Sus scrofa: one gene and its partners. The protein of the gene in region 6 interacts with the protein of the main gene of each other region in a pairwise test. Links are inferred from orthologs where the notes say so. Each region holds a gene or a part of one and is shown on either strand. Other genes may lie near its edges.

The links.
Region 1: the proteins of SIAH1 (region 6) and PRPF31 interact in binary tests that used the Homo sapiens proteins (3 or more experiments, as listed by UniProt). The two-hybrid records come from large-scale screens. The link is inferred for Sus scrofa from reciprocal best matches to the Homo sapiens genes SIAH1 and PRPF31.
Region 2: the proteins of SIAH1 (region 6) and CTSK interact in a two-hybrid assay, tested with the Homo sapiens proteins (2 studies listed by BioGRID). The link is inferred for Sus scrofa from reciprocal best matches to the Homo sapiens genes SIAH1 and CTSK.
Region 3: the proteins of SIAH1 (region 6) and TMEM43 interact in binary tests that used the Homo sapiens proteins (3 or more experiments, as listed by UniProt). The two-hybrid records come from large-scale screens. The link is inferred for Sus scrofa from reciprocal best matches to the Homo sapiens genes SIAH1 and TMEM43.
Region 4: the proteins of SIAH1 (region 6) and NUMB interact in a two-hybrid assay, tested with the Homo sapiens proteins (2 studies listed by BioGRID and IntAct). The link is inferred for Sus scrofa from reciprocal best matches to the Homo sapiens genes SIAH1 and NUMB.
Region 5: the proteins of SIAH1 (region 6) and ATN1 interact in a two-hybrid assay, tested with the Homo sapiens proteins (2 studies listed by BioGRID and IntAct). The link is inferred for Sus scrofa from reciprocal best matches to the Homo sapiens genes SIAH1 and ATN1.
Region 7: the proteins of SIAH1 (region 6) and RAD51AP1 interact in binary tests that used the Homo sapiens proteins (3 or more experiments, as listed by UniProt). The two-hybrid records come from large-scale screens. The link is inferred for Sus scrofa from reciprocal best matches to the Homo sapiens genes SIAH1 and RAD51AP1.

The regions. Positions count from the first base shown.
Region 1 is NC_010448.4:55,998,048-56,001,507, forward strand, and holds part of PRPF31 (U4/U6 small nuclear ribonucleoprotein Prp31), read right to left. Parts: intron 2,567-3,460; coding exon 2,409-2,566; intron 1,164-2,408; coding exon 1,074-1,163; intron 1-1,073. UniProt on the Homo sapiens protein: Involved in pre-mRNA splicing as component of the spliceosome. Required for the assembly of the U4/U5/U6 tri-snRNP complex, one of the building blocks of the spliceosome.
Region 2 is NC_010446.5:98,391,563-98,395,825, reverse strand, and holds the start of CTSK (cathepsin K precursor), read right to left. Parts: upstream 2,801-4,263; 5' UTR 2,800-2,800; coding exon 2,677-2,799; intron 2,062-2,676; coding exon 1,939-2,061; intron 1,854-1,938; coding exon 1,698-1,853; intron 35-1,697; coding exon 1-34. UniProt on the Homo sapiens protein: Thiol protease involved in osteoclastic bone resorption and may participate partially in the disorder of bone remodeling. Displays potent endoprotease activity against fibrinogen at acid pH. May play an important role in extracellular matrix degradation.
Region 3 is NC_010455.5:70,403,714-70,407,213, forward strand, and holds part of TMEM43 (transmembrane protein 43), read right to left. Parts: coding exon 3,425-3,500; intron 2,859-3,424; coding exon 2,764-2,858; intron 1,808-2,763; coding exon 1,758-1,807; intron 1,543-1,757; coding exon 1,473-1,542; intron 787-1,472; coding exon 716-786; intron 1-715. UniProt on the Homo sapiens protein: May have an important role in maintaining nuclear envelope structure by organizing protein complexes at the inner nuclear membrane. Required for retaining emerin at the inner nuclear membrane.
Region 4 is NC_010449.5:96,795,891-96,800,141, forward strand, and holds the start of NUMB (protein numb homolog), read right to left. Parts: upstream 2,801-4,251; 5' UTR 2,572-2,800; intron 1-2,571. UniProt on the Homo sapiens protein: Regulates clathrin-mediated receptor endocytosis. Plays a role in the process of neurogenesis.
Region 5 is NC_010447.5:63,792,649-63,796,759, reverse strand, and holds the start of ATN1 (atrophin-1), read left to right. Parts: upstream 1-1,374; 5' UTR 1,375-1,384; intron 1,385-1,526; coding exon of another isoform or gene 1,527-1,687; intron 1,688-2,728; coding exon of another isoform or gene 2,729-2,771; intron 2,772-4,111. Other genes in the region: uncharacterized protein LOC110260590, read right to left, coding at 520-1,374, 1,527-1,687, 2,729-2,771. UniProt on the Homo sapiens protein: Transcriptional corepressor. Recruits NR2E1 to repress transcription. Promotes vascular smooth cell (VSMC) migration and orientation. Corepressor of MTG8 transcriptional repression.
Region 6 is NC_010448.4:36,359,273-36,363,359, reverse strand, and holds the start of SIAH1 (E3 ubiquitin-protein ligase SIAH1), read right to left. Parts: upstream 2,801-4,087; 5' UTR 2,118-2,800; coding exon 2,027-2,117; intron 518-2,026; exon of another isoform or gene 455-517; coding exon of another isoform or gene 370-454; intron 1-369. UniProt on the Homo sapiens protein: E3 ubiquitin-protein ligase that mediates ubiquitination and subsequent proteasomal degradation of target proteins.
Region 7 is NC_010447.5:65,883,711-65,887,210, reverse strand, and holds part of RAD51AP1 (RAD51-associated protein 1), read left to right. Parts: intron 1-1,085; coding exon 1,086-1,172; intron 1,173-1,668; coding exon 1,669-1,824; intron 1,825-3,500. UniProt on the Homo sapiens protein: Structure-specific DNA-binding protein involved in DNA repair by promoting RAD51-mediated homologous recombination.

The DNA of each region.
Region 1 (3,460 bases), about 20 Mb from region 6:
ACCCTCACCTCCTTGGAGAAGCCCTCCCTGACATGTGGTTAGTCAGTCCAACCTCCCCAGCCTCTGCTCAGCACCACTGGACACACAGCAGATCGGCCTGCGTCTCCTTGCCCCGCCTCCAACGGGAATGGAAACGTCGCGGGGCAGGGCTTCTGTCTGCGGGTGCACTGCTGGACCCCGGCATCCAGACCGGGGGTCAGAGAGAGCGAGACCAGATCCCTCAACGCTGTGCCAGGCCGGGAGCCTGGGAGACGAAGGTGCACAAGACAGAAACACCTACCCTCGCAGAACAAGTGTGCCAAGGAGGCGAGGTTGCTGGAATGGGTACTGAAGGGTGACAGTGCTGGTGGAGGGCACGGACCCCCATGTCGTAGGCCAAGCAAGCCTCCCCCACCCCCAAAGGTGTCTGTGAGCCACTCTCTGGTCCTTATGAACCGTCACCTCGCCCGGGCCAGGGATCAAACCCCAGCCACAGCAGCCACCCCAGGATCCTTAACCCACTGCACCACAAGGGAACTCTTATTTGATTTTATGAGCGGCCATGTGATTAAGTTAAGGATCCTGAAATGGGGAGGTGCCCTAGATGGTCCGATCCTGGGGGATCCCAGGGGCCCAGTGTAATCCCTGGGACCTCAAAGGAGTCGGAGGCGTGAAGACAGATGCAGAGTCAGGCAGAGGCGGGAAGGTGCCGCACTGGCTTCGGAGAGGGAGGCAAGTGCCACGAGCCGAGGGGCGCAGGTGGCCTGTGGAAGCTGGAAAAGGCGGCGGAGCGACCCTCCGAGGACACAATTCTGCCGACACCGTGACCTCGGCCCAGTGAACCACCACGGGCTCCGGACCCAGGGAACTTTAAGTCAGTAGCCCTGCAACGCTTTAGGCCACTAGGCTGAGCAGTGACGGGAAACTGGTACAGCAGGGGCAGGGGAAGTGGACCTGGGGGTGGGGGGGCACAAACACTCCCACCTCCACCGTCAGGACAGCGCAGACGGGGTGGGGGTGGGGGTCCTCTGATCACAGCTCCCCCCACCCCCACCAGACCGCAGACATGCAGACAGATGCCGGCTGCCCCTCACCTTCCCCTCCGTACTCTCGTGGAAACTGTCCACGCGCGCTGCCAGCGTGCACTTGGCGGCCACCAGCCGGGCCGCTTTCCGCCGGAGATCCTGGAGCAACGACAGAGAGGCAGAGTCAGCGTGAAGATACAATCAGATCACAGCCGTTTCCAGAACTCCTGCCGCCATGGGCTCCGTTTCCCACACCAGCTTTTGTCTTCACTGCTGTCGTTACTGGAATAACGTGTAACAATAGCAAAATGTTGCGGTCGGTGTCTCCTCTCACCCACCTTCCCATCTCCCCAGACAACAGAGATGCATTAACACAGAGGCAAGACGATGAAATACTGAGAAAACATGTTACAATTAAAATAAATAAATGAATAAAATCAAATAAGAGTTGCCTTGTGGTGCAGTGGGTTCAGGACCCAGTGTAGCCGCTGTGGTGCAGTGGGTTAAGAATCCTGGGGCAGCTGCTGTGGCATGGGTTTGATCCCTGGCCCAGGAACTTCAGCATGCTGCAGGAGCAGCCAAAATGTATTTTAAAATATTTTTAAAAAATCCATCAGTGTACCTGAAAGGCAGGGGCTGGAGCTCTGAGAAATACCAAGATGATACATGAGCCCCCAAGTCCCAGTTAGCAACGATAGGAGAACTGAACCCAGTTAGCCAGCGCAGCGGAGAACTGAACCCTGCCCGAAGAGGCCTGGCCTTGGCCCTGGCTCCTGGGCGTCCTGGTGGGGGCCCTGGCTAAGCTAGCGTGCAGCCCTGTGTTTCAGGGTGGGGTCTCTCACCAGGCAACCCCATCTCTGCCTGAGCCAGGTAGAGACGGAGGCCTGAGGCCCCGCTGGGCGTCCTGGTGGCGACTGTGTCCTGTCTCATGTGGTGCCTGTTTGGTGCTTCCAGACCCTGCCCTCACGCTTCTCCCTGGCTGGTGTTCGTCTGGGTTCCCACGACGTGATGAACCTGGATCAGCTCGAGGTGAGCTCTGCAAGCCCTTCTGGGGGTCACTGAACCTGACCATGGCCTTGGGAACCCCGATCTCACGCTTCCATCACTTTTGATGTGTGAGGCCTGCCCTCAGAGTGTTTCTCGTATGACTGAGTCCACGTCGCGGCCCCTGAAGCAGGTTCACTCCCCCAGCTTCCAGACAGGGAGGCCAAGGCTCAGCACTCAGGCCTCTGGCCCAGCTGCGAAGTGGCGCGGCCAGCATCCCAAACTGGCGCATCAGCTGTGGCATCCTTAACCCATGTGGGGCATCCTCTAGGGTTCCATGCACCGGGGTCACAGGGGAGCCGCGGGCCCTGGGGAGCTGCCCTGTGGGGCATGGCAGGTGCGGTGGGGCTGGGGGCTCACCGGGGGCAGGGACTGCACGATGTCGCTGTGGTAGATGTAGCCGGTGTGTGGCAGCACCGAGGTGGACGAGAAGCCGGACAGCGTCTTGCGCTGGGCGCCGAGCAGCATGATGTTGCAGGCGGGCATCTTGGAGAGGTTGGTCAGGCCGCCGGCCACACCTGCGCAGGAGGGCGGGAGTCAGAAGGCAGGCGGGGGCGGGGGGGTGTGTGTGCACGTGCGGGGGTCACTGTGTTGGAGCCTAGGCGGCCCCGCCAGGGAGGGCCAGGTGTCCCACTCCAGGGGGCATTCAGAGGTGGCTTAGAGAAGTGAAGCAACTGGCCCAACAGGAACCTGACCCCAGAGCCTGCAAAGCTGCGGGGGGCCTCCCCCCCCCCGCTCTGTGCTTGAGAGCGGTTTTCACCACACCGGGAGCACGTGCCCACACGGCCCAGTGTGGCACGGCATCTAGGTCCCCTGGAGCGTCTGCAGGCGTGGGGGATGGGAAGAGGAGCGGTGGGTAACACGTTCTCCCTCTGATGGGGACCACTGTGGGCGGGGCCCTGTGCTGGGGGTTTCTGAGGATGTGGCCCACTGTCTCATCCAACACGTGAATCCTCGAAACAAGCCTCCAACGCCTGTGCGGGAGCAGAACAGCGCCCCACGGTCACTGACATCGCAAGCCCCAGAAGTTGTGCCTGAATACAGCCAAGGGGACTCGGCAGGGCCCTGAGAAGGGGAGACTGTCCTGCAGGACCTGGGCGGCTCAGTGTCACCGCAGGGTCCTCGACGGCAGGAGAGAAGGGCGGAGTCAGAAGGGATGGCCAGGATGGAGGAGCCCCCCCCCCCCCAAGGAGGGCAGGCGCCTCTGGACGCTGGAAACGGCAGGGAACGCGGCTTCCTCCCTCCCCGCCCCCCACCCCAGGACCAGCCCTCCTTCCCCACCCCTTCATTTTAGCCCGGTGAGGCCCCTGGTGGACGTGTGACCTCCACAACGGTCGGGTGGTAAACTGCACTGTTTAAGCCTCTTGGTCTGTGGTCGTCTGTTACAGCAGCAACAGGAAGCTGGCACACCC
Region 2 (4,263 bases), on a different chromosome or scaffold from region 6:
CAGAGCTAAAAGCCCAACAGGAACCACACTGACCCTGAGAGACATAGCAGAGAAATTATCAGTCATTGTTGTCATACTTTGTTTATTCCTTCTACCTGTCCTATGAAATTCTATACATTTTATAAATTCTAGCACCTGTCCCCTTTGCTATGAAGTATTCCTATTTCCCTTCATTTAGCATTTATTGCATTGTTCTATTGTTCTATTGTTGTCACTATTGTTCCCATTAGCTGTACTAAAGCAGAAGAGAATACAGATCTTCCTCCAATAAATCCATTATAAATTGAAAACATAGTAATTTGAAAATGCATTTAATACCTCTAATATACTGAACATTATAGCTGAGCCTAGCCTACTTTAAACATACTCAGAACACTTAGGGTAGCCTAAAGGTGGGCAAAATCATCTAACATAAGGACTGTTTTATAATAACATGTTGACTATGTCATGTCATCTACTGAATACTGTACTGAAAGTGAGAAGCAGAATGACTGTAAGGGTACTGGTCGTTTACCCTCAGGATCACGTGACTCACTGGGAGTGGTGGCTCACTGCCACAGCCCAGCATTAAGAGATGACATCATACCACTTATCACTAGCCTGGGAAATGTTCAAAATTCAAAACTTGAAGTACAGTTTCTGTGGAATGCCTATCACTTTCACACCATCATGAAGACAAAAAAATCATAAGGTGAACCATCAGAAGGTGGGGGCCATCTGCATTGCCTGTGCAATAGAATATGACCTTGAGTAAATTACTAAACATCTCTGTACCTCACTCTCCTTATGTGTAAATTGTGGATAATAACAATATACTTAATGGGATTATAAGGATTAAAAAATTAATTCATATAAAGGATGAACTACTACGTATAATAATAATAGTCTCTCAAAAAGTGCTAGCTATTGTTATTAGTGTTTGCTCAGCTAGATTATCCATTTTTCTTTCTTTCCTGTCCTTTCTATTTTTTAAGGTTGGGGATTTCTTGAGGACACTGGTTATATTCTTAGTCATCTTGAAGCTCTGTTGCCTAGAACTATATCTGGTAGGTTCTGAAAAAAAAATGAGTTTGTTGAATAAATGCTAAATCAGCGGTTCATCTGGTTGATGTAATCAGCATAGTTAAGGTTGTGGGAAAACTGACATTCTCACGCTGGTAAGAATGTAAGATTGTAAAAACTTTTTTGGGATGATTCCCTCTGACCTATTGATTCCAATTTTAGGATTTATTTTGCATAAATATTTGTATATATGTACAAAATATATGCACACAGGTGCTTACAGCAATACCACTTATAAAAATAGACAAACCAGAAATAACTTAAATGTACAAAAATAGGTGATGAGGTGTTCCTGCTGTGGAGCAACAGGATCTGTGGCATCTTGGGAACCCTGGGATGCAGGTTCAATCCCAGGCCAGGCACAGTAGGTTAAGGATCTGGCATTGCTGCAGCTGCGGCTCAGGTCAGGTCTGATCTCTGGCCAGGGACCTCCACATGTCACAGGACAGCCAAAAAAAAAAAAAATGCTGATGAGTTAAATAACAGAATAGGCTTTATTTATTCTCTTAGCAGGGGAAGAGGTAAATTAATTCTTTGCCCTCTCTCCTGGTGTCCTCCTACCTTAAGATAAAGAAACAGAAAAAGGAAGCAGTCATGCCAGCTTATATACTCACACCCAAGAAAAAAGAGGGTACCTGGTTTTTGACAGGAGTAACATATCCTTTCTTCCGATAATCAATAGAGTCTGGGGTTCTGCCTTCCCAGTCTGGGATATAAAGGGTGTCATTACTGCGGGAATGAGAGGGGGGTACTTTGAGTCCAGTCATCTTCTGAACCACTTCTTCACTGGTCTGGTACAAAGAAGAAAGAAGCCAGGCATAAGAAAGGAACCAAGGCAAACAGGGCAGATAGACCAGGAGCTGAGGCTCAACTCACCATATCGCCCAAGTGGTTCATGGCCAGTTCATACGTATGAACCCCAAGAGAGGCCTCAAGATTATGGATGGAAATATGCTTCAGGTTTTTTTCCCAAATTAAACGCCGAGAGATTTCATCCACCTACACAGAGCATTGTCAGTATTGGCATAGACTGTATCCTGTGTAGAAAGTTACATACCTAATACCATGCAGGTTTTTAGGAGAAGAGATTAAATTTAAAATCACAGAAGTTTACAATCTAGTTGGGGAAATAATCATGGGATTGAGAGCATACAAAGAGAAATACGTAAACAAATGCAAATAATAGGATACAAACCTCTAGAGAGATGTATAGAAAAAAAAAAAAACTGCTTACGGATTAATCGCATTAATCTGAGAAGCCTTCCCGAAAGAGAAATATAAGGCAGTTATAAAGAAAAGGAAGGGTAAGACTTGATGGAGGGTGAATAGAGGATTAGGAATGGAAAGTATATGTTAAGGAGTTCCCTGGTGGCCTAGTGGTTAAGGATCCAGCATTGTCACTGCCATGATACAGTTTCAATCCCTGGCCCACAGGACTTCCACATGCCACAGGTGTGGCCAAAAAGAGAAAAGTGTATGTTAATAGTCAGGGAACAGGGGCAGATTTGCTTGAGGTAATTAAGGTATTGGGTTGAGGAAGGGAGTCTGGAACCTAGGATTGGAGGTCTCAGGTTCCAGCCCTCCCACCATGTTCCCCTCCAGGTTCCCAGGCACCTTGCTGTTATACTGCTTCCTGTAGGTCTTCTTCCATAGCTCCCACTGGGTATCCAGTATCTCCTCAGGGTATAGAGCAGAGCTCATCACAGGCAGCAGTAGTACAACCTTGAGCCCCCACATCCTGGGGGAAGGAGATAATTAGGGGAGACACTTCTATTTGCCAAGGGGTTCCTAACCTGGCTTGGGAATGAGGAAATAGCTGGAACCATATTCTCAGACCAGTAATTCTTAATCTTTAGGTCACAGACTTCCATGAGAAGCTAACAAAAATTTGCAACCCACTGTAGTCCCTCTCACCAGAAAAATGAATGCACACACAATAATTCTGGGGAGTTTATGAACCCAAAGTTAAAAACCCCTTTCTCTGAAACATGAGGCAGAAGAAAACTAGGCTTTGTAAGGAAAGCAGAAAAATTGAGGGTGATTTCCATATGATAAAACAAACAGTGATAGGAAGGGTCTGGGTTTGGATGGAGTGCTGATACCTCTGGTTCCAAGTACTTTGACCTAGGAAGATTCCACACACACACACTTGCACAGACAACCAGAAAAGGTTTAGAAAATGGACAATCAGGATGAGCACAAAAACTGCTCCAATGTCCATGCAGACTTGAAGGAGATGGAAAAAACAAATGCAGGATGGGATGAATGGGTTGGAGAATATACACAAAGGAGAGATTTCCAGCTAAGTTTTTGCTTCCTGATCATTTCTAGGCATTCTTTTGTTCTTTGCCTAAATTCTGATGCTTCTGATCTTACCAGGAGAGGACAAGGGAAATTTTGACAGCATTTCCTTTTCTCTCTCAGGTGTATTCTGTCTTCTTAGGTATTTCTTCCTCCTTTCTCTTCAGGAAACTGTCCTAATCTCAACCAGCTGCTGTGGGCAGGAAAGCTTTTCTTTCTTTTTCGACCAAAACCCCTACAAAACCCTCTGCATCTGCCTCACAGGACAAAAAACCTCAGAACCAAAGTTTGCTAGAAGAACGTTAGACAGAAAAGGAATGTTCTATGATCATTAGAGACACAGCTTTTCAGAAGTTTAGCTTCATTCACTTCTTGTGGTGGCTTGTAATTATGTGTCCTCCATTTTAAGCGCAAGTTAGTCTGTAGCAAGTCACACAGCTTGCATAATTTTCAAATTACGTCCATTTTTGTGCGATCTTTGCAAACTGACAAAATGTCCAGCACAACATTTAGTATCTGGAGTATTAAGGGGCACTGAAATGTCTTGAAGAGTAGGAAGTACTGAGCTACCACCTCCCAAACCTCTCTTCCTGTTAGTAAATTAACCCTTTGATATCTTTGGCCCAAACAAAAACCCCAAGAGGCCACTCTTTGAGGGTTGGGCAAAGGATCCTCTATATTTTTTGCTTTCACTAGCAACCACATATACGTATTTACAAATCATAAAAGGAGTCCTAAAGATTTCCAGACAGATTTTATTTGTCCAGGAAATGACCTAAGAAGGGCATTAGTTTTCATCCACAAAGCCTATAAAGTTCATTTTGATCCCCAAGTCACTATGTTCCTAATTTTCCTAAAAATGGAGAGCTAGCAGGAATGAGAAGCTAAAAGACAGAGTAA
Region 3 (3,500 bases), on a different chromosome or scaffold from region 6:
TCCCTCCTCCAGCACCATCCTACTGCACTGCCAGCCCTGTGTCAGTCTCCATCTCCTGCAGGAAGCCTCCCTGCCCCCTCTCCCCATCAGTGAGAGTGACCGCAGTTCTGGAAGGGCTAGCCCGGCAGCCACTCCACCTGGCGACCCCACCACCCATGTCCAGGCCTGGCTCACCCACCCTTTCCTCCCTCGGCCTAGCTTTCTGCGCCCTCAGTTTCCTCTCCCCCTCCTTCCTGGGTCAGGCCCAGGGACAGAGCCCCAGGAGTTTCTATGGCCAGTGGTGCAACCCTGTCCCTTGCAGGCCTCTCTCTGGAGTCAATTCCAGGGCTGGATGCGGGCAGGGCTCAGAGATGAAGCCCCGGCCTTGTCCCCACTGCCAGCTCCACGGAAGCCTGAGAAAGAGCCCTCGGCTCTGTCTGATCAGCCCCACGAGCACACGGTGCATGGCAGCTGCTCCCCTGGAGCAGGTTTCAGGGAAACCTGGCCCAAGTAGCGGTATTCTCATGGGTCCCAACCTCCAGGGGACACACTTTCCCTCTGGCCTCTGCCAGAAGCACGATGCTGGGTAAGTGCTGGCTGACCCCATGCCCAGGGCAAGGGGACCCCGTTAGCTTCTGAGGGCTGAGTGCTGGGGCCCCGGCTCCTCGGAAGTGGCCGAGTGGAAGTGTGGGGCTCTGGGGCAGTGCTAGCTCGTCTGAAGGGGCCCAAGATTCACCTGCCGAGAGGAAAAACCTGCCGATCTGGACGAAGGGGGCAGTTGCGGTGAATGACTCCACAGCCATTGCACTGTGGGAGAGAGGGGGAGTTGTGGGTGAAGGGCCCCCCACCCACGGTACTCCCCCAAGTCCAGCCCAGCCCAACACCATACGTCTTACCTTTCCCTCCTGCACTCTCCGCCCCGGCAGACCCCTCTCTTGCCTCCTGGCCCCCAGGGCTTCATACCCTCCTGCCTGGACCCCTAGGAGCCTGTTCTACTGCCATCTGATGGCCCATCTATGGACTTCACACCCTCACTGACCCTTCTCAGCCCTGCCAGCATCCAAACCCCACAGCGCACATTCAAAGCAGAGCCCAGCTCATGGCGGCACTGCCAGCCTGAGTTAGCTAGCCCACCCCCACCGCCAGCTAACCTTCCTATGTGGGGCCCCCCCAAAGGGCCAGCTCAAATGCTGCTGCCCCCTGAAAGTCCAGGCTGACTGTCCTCCCACCTCACTGCCACTGACCCCCGCCCCAGGCACTGAGGTCAGCCTTATGCCCGTGACCTATTTGAGGAGTGGTTGCTGGGGCCCAGGGGAGTCTTGCCCCTGTGTTCCTGGCAACCAGCACAGGAGCTGGCCTCAGATCCAGTCTCACATTTTCCTTGGCTCATGAGACAAAAGTAATCCAGTCCCATTACTCAGATGAGAAAGCTGAGGCTGAGAACCTGTCAGTGGCCAGTGAGGCTACGCTAAGGCCTGGGACTCATCCCTCACCTGGGGTTTTTGTGGCCAATCTCTCGGTCAAAGTTTCTGCTGTTGATGATTTCTGACCTCCATTCGGTGTCTGTTGTGGAGAGAGGGGACGCAGAAACCATGGAAAAGTGCACACAGGAGTGAGGCCCACTGGCCCCGGCCTCTTAGCCAAGTCTGTGACCACCCGAGGTCCAAAGGGGCAGCGCCCAGGGCCTCGCTGGACAGATGGGAGAGCAGGGCTCTGGAGGCCCGCTAGCAGGGGGACAGAGCACAGGGGTGCAGGGTGGCTTGGGGCCCCGTACTCACTGTAGGAGTACCTCGTCTCTGTCTTCACCTGCCCATCCTCGGTGTGCTCCCTGCAGGGGAAGACGGCAGCCCTGAGTCAGCCCAGCTTTCCGAGCAGCTCCCATCTCTAAGCACCTCAGAAGCAACCTCGGAGCTCCCTGGCCAGATTCCCCATGTGGAGCAGCCACCAGCTCCAGCCCTTGAAGGCCTCCCTGCGCTGAAACCAGCCTCTCCAGTTCACACTGGGGTCCCAGCCCTGCCCATGGGAACAGTGACCTGCCCTCATCTTCTGCTCTGGGACAGCCCTGTAGGAGCCCCAAGGCTGTCCTTCCCCAGGCTGAGCCACTCAGGCTCCCCCAGCCACCTTCACTCAGAGTGTGGCCAATGAGAGCCTGTCTGAGAGTCCTATTAGAACTGACAGGATGTAACTCAGGAGGCCACCCCCAGCCATACCCCCATGGGAGAGAAGATGGGCCAGCATTCGAGAGAGCTCTGTCCTCAGCCAGAGCAGCAACGGCCCTAGGAGTAATAGCCTTCTCCTCCAAATCACTCTGCAGGAGATTCCTGTGCCTCCAAACAAGGCCATCAAGTTAGAATTGGGGGCAACTTAACATTTCTCCCAGAGGAAGAGTTTATTTATTTATTTTTAATTAATTAATTTATTTATTTATTTGGTCTTTTAGGGCCGCAACTGCGGCATATGGAAGTTCCCAGGCTAGGGATCAAATTGGAGCTACAGCTGCCAGCTTACACCACAGCCACAGCAACAAAGGATCCGAGCCACATCTGCAACCTACACCACAGCTTACAGCAATGCCAGATCCTTAACCCACTGAGCAAAGCCAGGGATCGAACCTGAGTCCTCAGGGAGGCTAGTTGGGTTTGTTAATCACTGAGCCACAATGGGAACTCCCAGAGGAAGAGTTTATAACCTAAATTTCTGAAGTGTCAAGATGAAAGCCATCTGCATGTCACCTGGACCCCCGTGCCTCCCCCACCCCAGCTGACTCTCCACCCTAGCTCTCACCTGGACTCCTCAGTTTCCACCCACTGGTACATTTCCACGTGGCGCCGCAGCTTCACAGCCGGAAGGTGGACCCCATAGTTTGGATCAGACAAGAGCTTCAAAAAGAAACAAACCAAGAAAAATATAGGGCAAGACTCATACCAGGCCAGAATAGCTGGCTCAGGGAGAGCTGGGCTGGGGGAGAAACATCAGGGGGCAGGGGAGCACGGAGAACCCACAGCTGAGCACTGAGGGGAGCCGCAGGGAGCTGTACACCCCAGTGCCGAACACGCAAGCCTGTGACGAGCCTCATGCACAGCTCAGGCAACAGGTGCGAGGGTGCAGTGCCCAGAGAGGGTGTCAGGGTTCGGACAGTAGACCCTGTACCAGACACAAACCCATCACCATTGTTAAAGCACCTCTTGTGACGGTCATGGCACAGTCAGAGACTGTGTCAGGAGGTTAGCTACCGAATCCGGCCCAGCTTTAGAACCAGCCCCCAGCTTGTTACAATTATTTCCTCATCTTACCAGGAGGACAATGAGATGCAGGAAAGATGGGTCTAGAAGGCTGCCAAGTGGTGCACTGAGTCACACTAAGTGTGTCCGTCCGTCTCCAAGGCCCATGATTTCAAATCCTCAACCAGACCCTCTCCACAGTCAGCAGCCACCGCCAAGCTTACCTTGGATGTCCGCAAGGCCCCAATGATGTGCACCAGCTTCCCCTCATTCTCCGGAGCCACACTGTGAATGCTCTCA
Region 4 (4,251 bases), on a different chromosome or scaffold from region 6:
AAAAGCTTTAAAATACCTTTACTCTAAAAAGGAAACACCCTTTTGCTTTCCTCTTTTTAAACGTGTCTTTTTTGGTTTTTGCCTACTTTCTATACATGAACTGTTCTCAAACCAGTCTGTTTCAGTGTTAGTTGTTTACTGTCAACATGTCTGTATATACTTAGGTTTTTTACAAACAGTCCTTTATAGTACAGCGGTAAAAAAGAAAAGGTAACCAAAACGGCACAAGTGAAACAAAAGTGGACCACATCAAGAAAGACCATTCAATTTCATTTCTCTGCCTCAAATTCCCTTTAGTCCTCACGCCAAAGAGCCTCAATATCTAAAAGAAGCACAACACCATATGTGATAAGGCAAACACAGGAGAAACCAGATCAGAAACTGAAGAAACCTGATAGAATGTATCACCACCTGAGAAGAATTACCACAAAACAAAAAATAAATAATAAACCCAGTCCCTGAATGCTCCTACTGAAGGGTTCCAATGCATGGCAAAAAGAGTTTTTTATATCTCTTTTGACTATGAGAAATACATTTTACATTCTGATCTAGTACACATGTGTGAACTAAATTTCCCAAAACAATATTTTCCATTACCATGTGAAATGCTAGTCAATTCTTTTCTATTTAATTTCATTTTCAAAACTGGTGGTAAGACCACTAAATTGATTTTATAAATTACTAATGAATCATAATCTACAGTTTGAAAAACATAGACTTAGGACAGGGTTTCTCTTATATTAGGTTTTTGGGTTTTTTCTTTTGCAAGTTGCTTCTACTCATCCCTAGCAGGGCAGACAGGTATTTTAAGGTTGGTATTATTACTCTTTTCAAAAAAGCAAGAGGTTCTTGAAGTGTGGTCCCCTGACCAATACAAGCATCACCTGAGATAAATGCAAATTCTCAGACCCAAACCCAGCCCTAACTGAATCAGTAGAGCTAGCAGACTGCTGTTTAACAAGTCCTCCAGGTGATTCTGGTGCAAATCAAAGTTTGAGAACAACCGCATTAAGGAATTCAGGTCTTCCTTTATCTTCTACACATTTGATAATCCAGTACACAGTGCTTACTCTGTGCCAGTCATCAGCCTAAAAGTTCCACAAAACATTAACTCACATGAGAAAACAACCCTTAAAAGTAGGAACTCTATTATACAGATGAAACTTCAGCACAGAGAGAGGTTAAGTTGTCGAAGCTAGGTGGTGGAACTAGAATTCAAACTTATTTTTAAATTGACATAAGTAAGTCTGTCCTCTTCATGCCCCTCCTCTTGCTGATCAAGTCCGCAGTCCTACTCCTTTATCTCGGCTACTCCTTTTCCCATTCAAATCTCCCATCCTGCCAACGTCCTTATTTTCTAGCATTATTGCTGTCGTCCTAAAACAAATTTCTAAAGCAATGGAATGCGAGTCACAACCTTGCTCTTAAAACACTTTCTCTGATCCTAGATGGCATCTTAGTATTGTGAAGCTGAAACTTCTATTTCTTAGGTCCTTACAACCTATTAAGGGCCCTATGTTAATTTCTCATATCTACGGTTCTGGCCAGTTTCCACAAGACCACGCTTCCTGGGCAACTTTCTGGCTCCTTCCTACTACGCCCTATCTTCTACTCCCTTCCTACAAGGAAACTACTTTTCCCCGCCTACCCGTATCATTTTCCTTGATTTAACTCCAGCTGAGAGAACTTCCACTCCTCAGCTAGACCCCTCACCCTGACGTCAAACCCAAGCTACCCCCATGAGGATTTTTTTTCCCCTGATCTCTTGTGGATCCTCAGACCCAGGAGTTCCCAGTCTGATCTAGGATCTTCCATCCCAGACCAGCGGTGGGGGGCAGGGCGCTCCGGTTCCTAACTTGTTCAAGATCTCCATGGGTCAGACCCTCCGAAGATCCGTAACAGTCCAAGAGCGCTTCTCCCTCGGACAGCCGCCCTTCTCAGGAGGGTGCTCAGCCCCCTCCCTGTCTTTCCTAGACGCCCTTTCTCCGACCCCGGCTGCTCCCAGTACCCTGGACCCCGACCTCCCTCGGTCTCTCTTCTCTCTCGAACCCAAGCCACTCCCAGTCTACGGCCCCCCGAGCCCCTCCCCGGCTTTCTCCGCTCGGGCCGCTCCCGGGATTCCCTGTTTCCACTTTTTCCTCGCTCCGAAGCTGTCCTGGGTATTCCCGAGTCACCCTGCCCTCGGACCAAGTCGTAACCCGCCATCCCCTCTCTAGGAGCCCAGTCGCTCCCGTCTCCCTACGGACCTACCCCTCACACACCCGCAGCCAGTCAGTGCCCCAGACCCGAGCGGCTGGCTGGGCGTCCCAAGGAAGCTCCCGGCCCAACTCGCTTGAGTCCGGCCCCAGCCTACCTTGCCAGCGCGAACTCCGCCGCCGGGAGCCGGGCGGTTCTCGCACTAGCCCAGTCAGCGCGAACTCGCGGCCACCGCCCCCGCCCTGGCCCCGGCCCGGGCCCGACCCGGCCTGCAGCCCAGGCCCCCTTCCGCAGGCCTCCGCCTCCGGATGACCGAGCTGGAGTTTTCGCTCGGAGATGGCCCTCAGCCTTCAGGCCCGCGTTACAGGCACTCACCTGCCGCTATCCTCGACCAACTCCAGCGCCACTGCCTCTACCTCGGCCGCCGGCAGCCACCAAGCGCCACCACCTCCCCCATGACAACAGGCCCACCCCGTTTCACACTTCCTACCTCTCCATTGGATAGTGGTGATACAGCTCTCTGCTCTTATTGGCTTAGTTTACCCGTCCGTCATAGCTTCCTTACCGCCCCTTTTCCTGGACCCGGTATTAGCCCCCTCCCGGACCTGGACCGTCCCAAGCCCAGCTTTAGTTGTAATTGGTTGACGGTTGGGCAGTTCGAAATCCTGATAGGCTGCAGAAAGTGTCTATTAAATCAACCTGCAAGGGATGTGGCGGCGACTGTTGGTTCGAGCTTGGGCAGTTTGGTTGCGCAGTAGAAAGCAAGGAAGGGGCAGGCGCTTATTGTCGGAGGGGAAAGGTTAACTCTTTGTTGTAAAATTGACTCTGTAAACATCCCTTTCTCCAACTTCCTCTCTGTAAGGAGAAACTTACCACTGCCTGCTCACCCAGAGGGCAGTACTTACCAACAGCAACATCAGAGTTGGCGTTTAAAGACTCATTAGCGGCTTCTTGAAAGAAAAGCACGTAGATGAAAATTTCCTCCTCTTCGCTTGAAGTCCTAAGGTGCTCAGTTACCTTAAAGTTCATCTCCATGCTAAAGGGCAAAGAACCACCACTGAAGTTAGTCCACTTTGGTTGCAGTTATAAACGTCGTTAATGAATTGAAGTGGTATGTTGAGAGTTCTGCAGCTTTCAGACGCAGCGCTGGATGTCTCCTGCAAGGGACCAGGCAACCATCAGCAAGTTTGGACTATATGGGCCACATTTTACCCTTGTGATGCTCTGAAAAGGAGAATTCAGCTCCCCGTAACTTGCTTTCTATGCTCAGCAGTTCTTAAATAGCCCTACTAGATGTGTGTCAGATACTTTAAAAGCTTGTCTTTTTTTCTGAACCTCTCTTCCCAGCAGTCTAAATTAAGACCATTGAATGAATTGCAGTTCTTTTCTCACATGGCACAATGTACAAGAATAAATGATTGCATTTTTTATTCATTTGGGTACAAATCACAGTAGGCACTTTTGAGAAATCTGGTGTTGCTATAAAAACTCTTGTACTCCTAGAAATATATCCACCATTAGCTTTTTGCTTTTCTTTTTCATTTCTGCCCACTCTGCCTGTTCATAAATAACAAAATGCTCACCTAATTACCCTTTCAGTTTCTAAATCAGATTTAAATGTACCCTCCTCACAATTCCACCTATAACATAAACCCCATGGGTCATGAAACATACTCAAGGATGGACTGGAACAGGTTGAGGATGTACTTCCCTCTTAAACAGCACTTTATGGTTGGGGACTTGCTGTGGAACCAAGAATCTGGACTTTGCTCCTTACTTCTTCCTGCTAACTCTTTGTTCCATATTTCTTCTATTTACCCTTCTTTCCTTTGCCAGCAAGCAATAAGAAGTCTAAAACTGCATGGTTTGTTATCTCCCTCAAAATTGTCTATTTTCTAACATATATTTTTAGTCACGTTTAAATAAACTACATACTTCCATCACCAAACTAAGAGGAAATTATTCCTCCAGCAACTCTACGTAACAATAAGATGTCTTTTCCTAGTTATTTTCCGGAACTTTCCTCCCCCTTCTCTCATCTTCACCTTCCAATTT
Region 5 (4,111 bases), on a different chromosome or scaffold from region 6:
TTCTCTTCCCACCCAGAACCCAGTCCTCCTCGAATATGCACCTGGCCCCACCTCCTTCATCCTTTCTTAAGGTTCTTCTAGCTTTGCTTTCTCTTTCCCCATGACATCACTAGGTTTGTCATTCCCCCAACTTCTTACCTTCCCCATCCCTTTGTCAACACCAGTCACCCCCAAACTCTTCACTCTCCTCCAGAAATCCCGTTCTCCTGTATATGTCTCCATCTTTTCAATATCTTCCCCTCCTTATGACCCCCAAACTTCCAGCCCCTTTGCACGATTGCCTCCCAAACCTTTCCTGCTACGCTAGGTGTCTGCCAGACACTATCACCCCAAGCTTCTTTCACCTCCCCTGTCACACATCTCATTGTCCCCAGGAAGCTCTGTCTCGCCCCAACCTAACCCCATTACCCCATCTCTGCTACATACCCACAACCTCCCCCCTTGCCTCTGCCACACAGCCCTGGGCCCCCAAACTTCTCCAGCCTCCCCCATCTCTGCCCCTACAACCCACGGCTCCTCCTACCCAGCCCGCTCCCGCGCCAGGCCCGCGGGCTCCCCGCATTCCGCCACGGCGAACCCCTCCCCGCGCCCCGGCCCCCTCGGCCTCGGTCTTGGCCAACTCGCGCGGCGCCTCCCCCTTTCCGATCCCCCTCTCCGCCCCTCCTCGCCGCTCGCCTCGCGCTCCCTCCCTCGCGGCTCCCTCCCTGCCCCTCTCTCCTCCGTTCCTCCGCGCTCCCTCCTTCTCCCTCTTCCTCCCTTCTCCCATCCCCCTCTCCCAGGCTCCCTCCCTTCGCCGTCCGCTTTCCTGTGCGAGTCGCCGGACGCGCCGCCCAGCCCGCCCGCCCGCAGCCCCGCGTCGGGCCGGGGCCTCGGGCCGGGACCCGTTTCAGGGGGACCGCCGGCCTCAGGGAGGAGCCAGGAGGGGGCGAGGGAGAAGACCGCCCGGGAAGGGGCGGGGGCCGCGGGCGGAGGCCGCCTAGGGGGCCGGGGATCGCGCAAGTGCGGGCTGCGCGGGGCGGGCGCGGGCGGCTGGCGGGAGGCAGCGGGTCGGAGCCGCGCGGAGGGCCGGCCTGGCCGCGGGGGCGGACGGGCGGCGCGGCCCGGACGTTCTGGGCAGCCGGGGTAGGCGGCGGGCCTGGGGAGGGGCAGAACTAGAGCGGGGACTGGGATTTGCTTCGGGGGCCGGCGGGCGATCGGGGCCAGGTGGGGGAAGAGGGAAGATGGGGGCCGCCCTCCGGGGGGGTCGGGGCCGCCGCCGCCGCCGTCGCGGCGGCGACTGAAGCCGGAAAGAGAGGGGGGCGGGGGAGCGGCCGCCGCCGCCCCCAGAGGCGCCGGAGCCCCAAATCCCGTTCGGAGCCAGCCAGCCGTCCCGAGCTACAAACAGGTAAGATCTGCTGCCGCCCGGGCCTTGCGCTCGCCCGGGTTCTGGCCCGCGGCTCCCCACCCCCACCCCTCCCAGTTCCCCCTCCTGCCGCCGCCGCCGCCGCCGCCTCCATTTGTTATTTTTCCCCGATCTGGTCCCCTACTGCGGGCCCTGGCTGGCCTGAGACTGGGGGCTCAGGGGGTGGGGCCGGCCCCGGAGGAGGGATGGGGGCCTGGACGCCCGGAGGATCAGGAAGGTGGGGGGAGGTGGGAGAGTCACAGGAGGAGGGCTGGTGGGGCGGGAGTGTGGCCAGAATCCCGGGACCTAAAGAGGAACCCCCGAGGTGGAGGGTTGGCGCAGGAAAACCGGGATGCCCGTCAGGGGGGCCTCGGGGCGAAGGCAAAAAGGAATGGAGAGATGGCAACGAGGTGGGGCAGGAGGACTCCAGGAAAAGCCTCAAAGGCCCAGAACCCGGTTTCAGATCCTGGGGTTCGGGGTGCTAGGTATAGAAGGGAGGTGGGAAATGGGGAAGGGGTGTGGTAGGTGGAAAGAGAGGGATTGTAGCTGATGAGGGAGGAGAATGGAACTGAGGGGGGCTCAGAGATGGCCGAGGAGAGGGCCACCCTTGAAAAGAAGGGGAGGTGCTCCCGAGTGGAAGTGGGAAGGCGATGCCTTTGTGACTCAATTTTCTTTCCTCTACTCCAGGTCACCTCTGACCTTGTTTTTGCAATCCCAGACATAGGTGCTTCTTGGAGAGGGGCACGCTAGGGCCTGGTAGTGTGGGTCCTCCCGCAACTGATGAGGAAGATGCGAACACTGAAGGGAGAGTTTAGGGAGGAAGGGTTTCCGGGAGGGTGGAAAAAGAGGGGAGCATTTGGGCAATCTTACAGGCACACCAAACAAGTCGTGACCCCCACCCTCAAACCCCCAGAACACCCCTGCGCCTCTAGCTGTGGTTTCCTTAAGCGGTGGGTGGATCTTCATTAGTGTTTTGTGCTCCGAGATTTCCCTTTGTGCGTAGACTTTTTTTCTGCCGGGGTAGGTACTCTTAAGCTCCCTTCCCTGAGGGTGCTGTAGGAGGACAGGAGTTGCTTTGGCAACTGGAGGGGGAGTGACTGGTAGATGGACCCCTGGGACAGACTCTTGAGGGGCAAGTTCTGCCTCTTCGTTGCCATGGCAGTGACCCAGTGGGATGTCCAATAGATGGGGGTTCTGCATCTCCACTGGGCCTTTCAGCCTCTGGCTATGTCCTTGGGACGCTCGGCTGGATTCTGAAGGATGTTTCGGGTGCTGCTGGTGGAGAGGAGTTTCCCCAAGGGTCCACCGTGTCCACCCAGCAGTCTTTGGAACAGGTAGACATGTTACTTGCAGGTGGTAGTTGTTTCTCCAGGTCCCTCCCCTTAGGCATGGTGGGAGGATGGGAATGCTCCTGTTCCAAGTTATACCATCTTTTGGCAGTTCTTGCTGGCCTCTATCTCCCTTGTTATTAGGAAGTTTTTGGATGGTCTTGTTGCTTCTTTGCACAGATATTCTTCCATTTTCTTCACCTTGAGTCTTCCTGCCCAAGTATCCCTTTTCCTCTGTCCCAGACTCTTCCCCACAGTAACGCCTTCGCTCATCTGACCTCCAACCTTCCGTTTCTCTGAACTTGTAGGGATGGCTGGGCTCTCCACGCGCCTCCCAGGTGAGGGTCCCCCAGGGGAGAGGGCTGTAAAACAGCCTGGTGCAGTGGAAATATTCCAGAACAGGAGCCTGGAGACCTGGGTCTAGTCCTGGCTGTACCTACTAACTGTGACCTTGGGCAAGTCACTTCCCTTTGAGCCTTGGCTTCATTGTCCGATGAAGGGGTTGTAGATAAGATGATATCTGAGGCCCCGCTGACAACTGTAGATTCTAAGGCTTAGGCCAATGCCTTGTTATCTGCTGGCCTGGGCTACATTGTTATCTAGGAGTTACTTTGGACTGGTTTGTTAGTCTGGCAGGTTTGGAATGATGGTGGGGGCTGGGCCAGTGGTCTTGAAATTTACCCTGCAAGCCCATCCTGGAAATCCTTGTGCCTTGGATATAATGCAGTCTTTCTGATATCTTCCTCATATTGCTCCCTTAATTTCTTTTCCTGTTCTTACTTTGAGACTATTTCCCTATCTTTGGTGCCTAGGCTTAGTGTTTTGCAGATACATAGTAGGTGCTTTATAAATCAGAGAAGGAATCTGAGCTACTCTTAGCGCAGCTTGTTGGTGCTGAAATATGCTCCAGGTTCAGGAAGGTCCGTGCAACCCAACCCTACCTCTTTCTCGCTCCTGCCACTCCTTATCCCCAGGGTCACCTACCTTTTATGAGTGCTTTTCTCCTTCAGAGCTCCTCATTGCTAATTTTATCAGATTCCAGCTGATTAAAAAAGTTAGGGTGGGGGCGGGGGCACACCAGGCTTTCTCTGTTCTTCAAGAACATTTTGCTGCTTTCCTCTGGCCTTTTGGATCCCATAACTCTCACCGACAGTGAACAAGTTCTGGGATAGGAAGGAGGGATGAGCACCTGCCTTTAGACGAGCTGGCAGAGACACATGAGGCACAGTTTTTTCTGTTGTACTTTTGTTGGGATTATTTTCCCCTTTGGTTATGTTGGGTTTTGTTCTTTAGGGTTTTGGAGGGTTGACGATATTTGAAAACCAATGTACCGAACAGCTCAATACTGTGGTAAATAGTTGTAGTGGAAGAGAAATGACCTGTTTACGGGGCTCTAAGTTCA
Region 6 (4,087 bases):
GTGTAGGCCGGTGGCTACAGCTCCGATTCAACCCCTGGCCTGGGAACCTCCATATGCCGCGGGAGCGGCCCAAGAAATAGCAACAACAACAACAACAGACAAAAAGACAAAAAAATAAAAAAAAATAAAAAAAAAAAATGTTAAAAATCATACTTGGATGGACTACGTGGAATAAATGCTAAAATAGAAACTGGACCATAAACAAGAAGGAGCTTAAGTGCAATAAAATCAGTTTTGACTGGACTTTCTCCCCCACCTCCCCTACTCATTCTGAGTCAGCTGTTACATGTGCTCCAGGGAGTTACATGTGATCCAAAGGATCACCAGGGTACTGACTTTGATTAATTCCTCCTAATGATGAACGGTTACCTGCTCTAGGAGTAATTTGGGGAATGAAAGGGGCGACAAGGGGAAGGGTCTGCTGCCATCCCACCATCCACCTCCTCTTCATCATCCATCTTCATGGAAAGTTAACACCAGCTAGGAATTAATCTTGTTTCCTACTGATCCATGCCCCCTTCAAAAGTGAGAAAGTAGAAGAGAAATGGAGGGCCATCCTCTCATAAAAGTTCTGAGTCCAGTATTTAGACACAGTAAATCATTCTACTTCCATTCTACAATATAAACCAGTATAATTTGCAAAGGTGAAGGAGAGTCAAGAAAATAAAGATCAAAAGCACCAGAGAGACTCACACAACAGTGGAGGTGAGGGATAGAGTCAACAGGTAAAGAATGCCTCGTACCCTAAAGTTCACCAGTGTTGCTGAAGCATTCATCAGCACACCAATAAACACTATTTATGAAATAAATGCCATCTGGAAGAAATGATCAACAATGTTAACTATGTGTCAGGGTGAATGAAAGATAAACTAGCAGCTTTTCCCAGGAATCTACCTTTGCTGGGATACGGTAGGCCATTTTCTTGGGGATGACAAAAGATCAGTCTACGGACGTCCTTAAGAGTATATTCCCAAGAACCCTAAGCCATATTTCTATCAAACTAAAATTTAACTCTTCAGATTTCATATTTTCCCTAACTGTAATTATTCTATCGGAAAGATCACTGTCACTAAAGGACTAAAGTTCAAGGAGAAACAAAAGTACCACAGGATTCTATCATAATGTGGCCCATCACAAGGATTTAAGACAACAGGAATCAATTCTTACCATCTGAAGCCCTGTGTAACCCAGGTGTTCTAGACCAATATAAAGGAACTCTCCTGTAATCCAGTTTTCCCCAGGAGATTTTTTTGTGCATATGATGATCTATGCATTTTATTTTAGGTCACTAGCAGAACAATGGGCTTAGCATTACCAAAATGCCCTGTATGTGTGCTGTATGCTTACTTCATAGTCCATTTTATGCTGCTTATTTTAAGAGAGCAACGTAGTAACTGGGAAGTGGTTCCTTCAGCACAAAATGATCTAAGCCACCAATGCCTTTCAATTCACTACGCCAAAACAACAAATCGCGTCAGGAGGCAGTAAACTCAGTTTGTATTCAACATAATATAACTACTAAGCAAGCAAAGCATTACTGTTTAATTTCTTGACCTAGGAAAATAGTTACACATTTATCATCAATAGTTCAGACTTATGATATAACACATATTTATTATTTTTCCAAACACTGTAGAAAAAGCACGATTTAAATTCCTATTCAAAGTGTGAAAAGCAAGCAAAATGTAGCTTGTAATTCTTATGAATGAAAGTATTACAGGACAGCAGCTGCTAAAACCTCCCAAAGCTCAGAAGATGGAACCCAGCTCCATCTTCAAACAGAAAAGGAATCCTAAGAACACAGCAGACCTGCAGTAGGAATCAAGGATTCAAGTGTCTGGACAACCCTGGAGGAGTCATTGCATAACCTGAAGTTTGTTTTAAACTGAGAAAAGTAGAGCTGCTCAAAAGAAACATCTCCAGCTCAATTACGCTGCAGCCATTCCCTGATCCATTCAAATTCCACCAGCTTATAACAACTTGCCCAATTCACAATTTAAGCAACCCAGTCTCTTAACAGTAATACCTTTTCTCTTCCTTGTCCCGGATGCTGGTAAACAAGTGAGCAAGACGCCCCTCCAGGAGTACAGAAAAGGTAAGGGAGACTTCCCGGTCATGAGAAGCCAGGCAGCTCATAGCCTTTCCCCCACGAATAGAGACTATTTGTAACAGAGGGCCCTACTGGACACCTTCCGTTCCTAAATTTGTCCAGGGTCAACTTTTCAAGACAGGAAGGCACGTGCCATGCCCCATACACTCCATTCACTCCTCAGAAGCACCGGCTACAGCGGCAGAGAAATGAAGCACCCTCCCGCCCCGAGAGGAGTCGACCACACCTCCCCATGAGCTCAAATTCGCCTGCGTCTCCAAAAATGGGAGCCATTGCTGAGCTGTCCTCTGCTGGGCCCTAAACCTTCGTCTGTCTCCCAAGTTTGTCTTCCCAAATTCATCGGCTAGGCTCTGGCCAGCTCGGTGAAGGACAGGGCTGGAGAGTGCGCAGCAGCGACTGGACGAAGCGGTGCAGCTCTCAGTCCCAGCTCTGGAGCTACCGCTGCAGGGTCCGGCCCGCGGGGAGAGCCATTTGGAGGCCTGGGCCGGGCTGCCGCTGGGAGAGCCTGCTCCAACGCAGATTGCCAGCCGGCCGAAGGCTCAAAGCACTCAGGGCGGTGGCTGCCGCGGCAGGAGAGGGGCGGGCCGGCGCATGGAGGCGGGGCTGCAAGCTCCGCCCCACTCGGCCTAGGGCGGCTCCAGGGCTCGCAGTCGCTCCTGCACGGCTCTGGCAAGAATCCCGAGCATGCAGCGCGCAACTCCCACACAGCTACCCAGCTCCGCAGAACCTCGCGATCCCCGGAGACATACCGCACGCCTCAGCTTTTCCACCGGCTTACGTGAGGTGGAAACACTCCGTTTCAGTAGGCCCAAACAGTCGGATATCGCAATTTGGGGTGGTTTCATAGCGCTACATAGAATATATGGAAAATACGTGGCCAGACAAGCACTCTTCTCTGCTCTATACTCTGCCAGTTAACCGTGCAAACTCCGGATTTTTATATAGCAAAAGCATTTGTCTACTTCATTAACTATTTATCAGATGTCAACTACCTTATTTCCTCAATTCTAACTCACTTCTCCATTTTTACCGCCGTCAGCACCTTATTTCAAACTTCCTTTCTCGATTCGAGAAGCCGTCGCAGTGAGAGTCGTAAACACATAACCATATTAAACTTCTACTTCAACGTCCAAATTGAGATTTTATTCTCTTCCCACTCTGGGAAAGCCATCTTAAACGCCCTCATTAAACAAAATAGCTTGTTTTGTTTTTAAACAAGCATTACCCTTGTCCCAATAAAGTCCTGGGCCTCAGATTCTCATTGCGTCAGCTCCAGCATTCAGAGGTTTAACCTGTCATTACATCACGCTTAGGGCAGCCTTTAAAGGGAGCAAGAGCTTGTAGTGGAGAGTGAACCCTGTGTAAATTGTAGATTGTCCATTTTCAGCATAAAATTTTAATTCAAATCACTTCCCCATCCTATTAATAGTATTCAGTCACCTCAGTCTCATTTTGATATTAGACAAAACATCATTAGGAACTGAAACATAACTGAAAATATAATCTGTCCACGGACAAATCTAAATTATTATTACCAATGTCTTTATTTTTTAATACATATTCACTCTAGCTAGGTGTTGGGTTTCTAAAGTAGAAGACTTTTAAATGTTTTAGGCAGAAAAACTCTTTCCAAACAGTATGAAGACAGAGTCCAAATTTGTAAAACAAGTAAAAAGGATGACAAATTCCTCAAACTAAAAAGTTTTTTTCCTCCAACTTCCAAAGGACCTGTATTGAAGCTTACAACACTGTCTGAAAACCATTAATCTATGGACACATTTCTCAGTAAGTCAGTCACGACAGTAAAAATGGAAGAGTTCCGGAGTCATCTACACTGGGATTCAAACCCAGCTTTCACCACCTACTCAACTGTAAAATCAGAACAGTACTGCCAGCCTTGCATGCTTTTACATGGATTAAGGGAGATGGGTAAATTACGTACATTACAGGTGGTACAGATTCCAAAATATGGAAGTA
Region 7 (3,500 bases), on a different chromosome or scaffold from region 6:
AGGGGTATAAATGTTTAAGTCACTCTGGCCTCTTGGTCATAAATAAATGAGATAGTGTTGATTAGTGGCCCTTTTAGTAATCAAGAATCAAAGAAACTTAAAAAGATAATTGTCCTATAACTAAAATGAAGAGGAGTTCCTGACGTGGCTCAGTGGTTAACGAATCTGACGAGGAACTATGAGGTTGTAGGTTCAATCCCTGGCCTCGCTCAGTGGGTTCAGGATCCAGCGTTGCTGTGGCTGTGGTGTAGGCCGGCGGCTATAGCGCCAATTAGACCCCTAGCCTGGGAACCTCCATATGCCACAAGTGTGGCCCTAGAAAAGACAAAAATAAAAAATAAATAAAATGGAGAAAATGAGGGAGTTTCCTATGGCTCAATGGGATAGAAATCCAGTATTGGTCACTGCAGTGACTTAGATCACTGCTGTGAAACAGGTTTGATCCCTGAACTGGGAACTTCCACATGCTGCCACATGCCAAATAAGTAAAATTAAGAAAATGAAAGTCTCTTCCTATAAAACTTTGTGGCATGTATAGTAGGGTTTCCCTGGAACTACCCCTTCTAGAGTAATGTGCCCCGTAGCCCTAGGATTTGTAGTCCCAATCATCATGACTTAAAGTCCTCTTAAAACACTCCCGATCACTTTAAAGTTATAATAATGATTCAGAAGTCTTTATGTTAGTGAAAGCATGGATCTGCCTACCTAGAAATGACAGTTAATATTTATGAACTGTTACCTGTATGCCAGGCACTACGATAAGCAGTTTCCACATTCGATCAACATTTAATCCCCGCAGAGTTTTCATCTCCACATTATAGATGAGAAGATTGAATCTTATGGAACATAGGCATCTTTCTCCTGGTCGTAGAGGTAAAGTGGTTGAGCCTGAATTTGAACTAATTAAGTCTGTGTGACTTCAACTATATGTTTGTTAGCCTTTCCAAGTAAGAGCTTGGTGCTGGTTTGGTACTGGTACTGGTCTGTAGCTAAATGCTATTAGGTTTGAGCACTTACCTTCCTGTTTCTAGACATTGCTTGACTAAGGTGCGTCTGCACGTCCTTTTTTTCTTCCTTGCATTTAGGCACTGATGAACATGGCAGTGGAAACGCAGAAACGACAGTTAAGTCTCCTCATATCTCCAACTGCAGCGTAGCCAGTGATTATTTAGGTGAGTTTTTTGTATTAATAATATTTATTTTTTCCATCTTTTTCTAGCTTTTACTTACATTCTTGAAACTGTAACTAGAACCAAGGTCTTTAAATTGTGAAGGTTCTTGTCACCTCTTCTCCTTCGTCTCTTTCTGTTTCAGTTTTCCCCTCTTTCACTGCAGACCCAGCTTCTTCCCTGGTGAAGGGTCGTGACTGCCCTTGGATTCTAGTTGACGGCACTTGAACACTGAAGAAAGGGCCTACATCTTCCCAGCTCCAGTTTGAAAATTCTTGGGAAAGACTCTGTCAGTTTGGGTCTTGGACTTAGGCTTAACTCACACTGGTGCCAGGAGACTAATGAATTATTGGCCTGGATTGGGCTGTGTGATCTATTGCTAGAAGCACAGGAAGGACGAAGTGGGGCAGATACAAGCAGCAGGTGCAATAGAAGTCCACTCCACAGTTCTTTCATGGTACCTGGCACAAAAAGTTTTGTTGACTTGTGTGTCCTGCAGATCTGGATAAGATCACCGAGGAAGGTGATTCTCGAGGTGCTCGAGGGAGGAGAAAGGCAGCATCCCAAGCCACGGTCCAGCAGAGGAAGATCCTCCTGGACGGCCGTGACGGCAACGGTGACGGCGACAGTGACTCCGAACCAGACTTTGCAACAGGTGAGTTATGTCCTAACTCTGCATTAACCCCATGGAGAGTCAGTAAAAAGACCATTGATGTATGCAAAACACTGCTAAACGTTTGGTGTGCACAGACTGTGTGCACACTCAGGACTGTTAAATTCAGCTGTGGCATTTGGGGGAAGCTGTATCTGGAGGTGACCTTTAAGCCATGCCTTGAAAAATGAGTAGCATTGGGGTGAAATAGCACTTCTGACGGATAGAAGGGTATAAACAACAGAATGGACAAGCGCACGTACAAGAACTCGGTGATGCTGGGGATTCCTCAAAAAATTAAAAATAGAACTACCTGATGATCCGGCAGTTCCACTCCTGGGTATTTATCCAAAGAAAATAGAAACTGATTGGAAAAGATATGTGCACGCCCTATGTTCATTGCAGCATTGTTCACAATAACCAAGGTATGGAAGCAACCTGAGGGCCTGGCAGCAGATGGATGGATAAAGAAGATGTGGTGCATATGTATGTATTTAATGCACACACACACACCCAGTGGAATACTACTCAGCCAAAGAGAAGAATGAATTCTTGCCACTTGCAACAGTGTGGATGGACCTGGAGGGCATTTTATTAAGTGAAGTAAGTCAGACAGAGAAAGACAAATACTGTGTGATTTCACTTAGATGTGATTTCACTTAGGTGTGGAATCTAAAAATAAAGCAAATCAAACAGAACAGATACAGTCATAAATACAGAGAACAAACATGGTTGCCAGAGAGGAAAGAAATAGTTGAGGGAGTTGAGATGGACAAACCTCTAACTGCAAAATAAATGAGTTCATGACATGAAATGTGCAGTGTGGGGAATACAGTCAGTAATTGCATAACACCCTTGTAAAGTGACATCCTGTAACTGACTTAACTGTGGTGGTCATTTTGAAACGTATAGAATTAGCGAATCACTATGTTGTGGACCAGGAACTAACATGGTGTTTCAGGTCAATTCTACTTTACAAACAAACTCACAGAAAAAGAGATCAGACTTGTGGTTACCAGAAGCAGATGTTGGAGGAGGAACTGGATGAAGGCAGTCAGGAGGACCAGGCTTACAGTTATGAGATAAACAAGTACTGGGGTGTAACATACATGATGAGTAAATTAACACTGTGCTATGTTATACATGAAAGTAAGTAAGAGAGCAAATCCTAGAGTTCTCATCACAAGGAACATTTTATTTTCTATTTCTTTGATTTTGTACCTGTATGAAATGGTCAATGTTCACTAAACCCATTGTGGTCATCATTTCGTGATGCATGTAAGTCACATCGTTATGCTGAACACCTTAAACTTACATAGTTCTGCATGTCAGTTATATCTCAATAAAACTGGAAGAAAAAAAAAAAAAAGATGTGGAAACACATGCACACATACAAGGTATCCAGTGAGGCTTGCAGGGAAGGGAGAATGTGGTAGAGGCTGCAGAGGCCCCCTGGCGCAGGTTTGTGCAGGGTCCCTGACCCATCCTAAGAGGTGTAGAATTTTTTTCCATAAGTAATGGAAATTCACGAATCATTTTGAGGTCGGAATGATGTGAAACCTGTATTTTTTTGTGATAGTTTTCAGATTCATTCAGAGATTAGGGCAAATGGGAAGCATAGTGACCTTGACAGCATCATGGTATACAAACTAAAATTAAAATGAATAAATCCATAAATT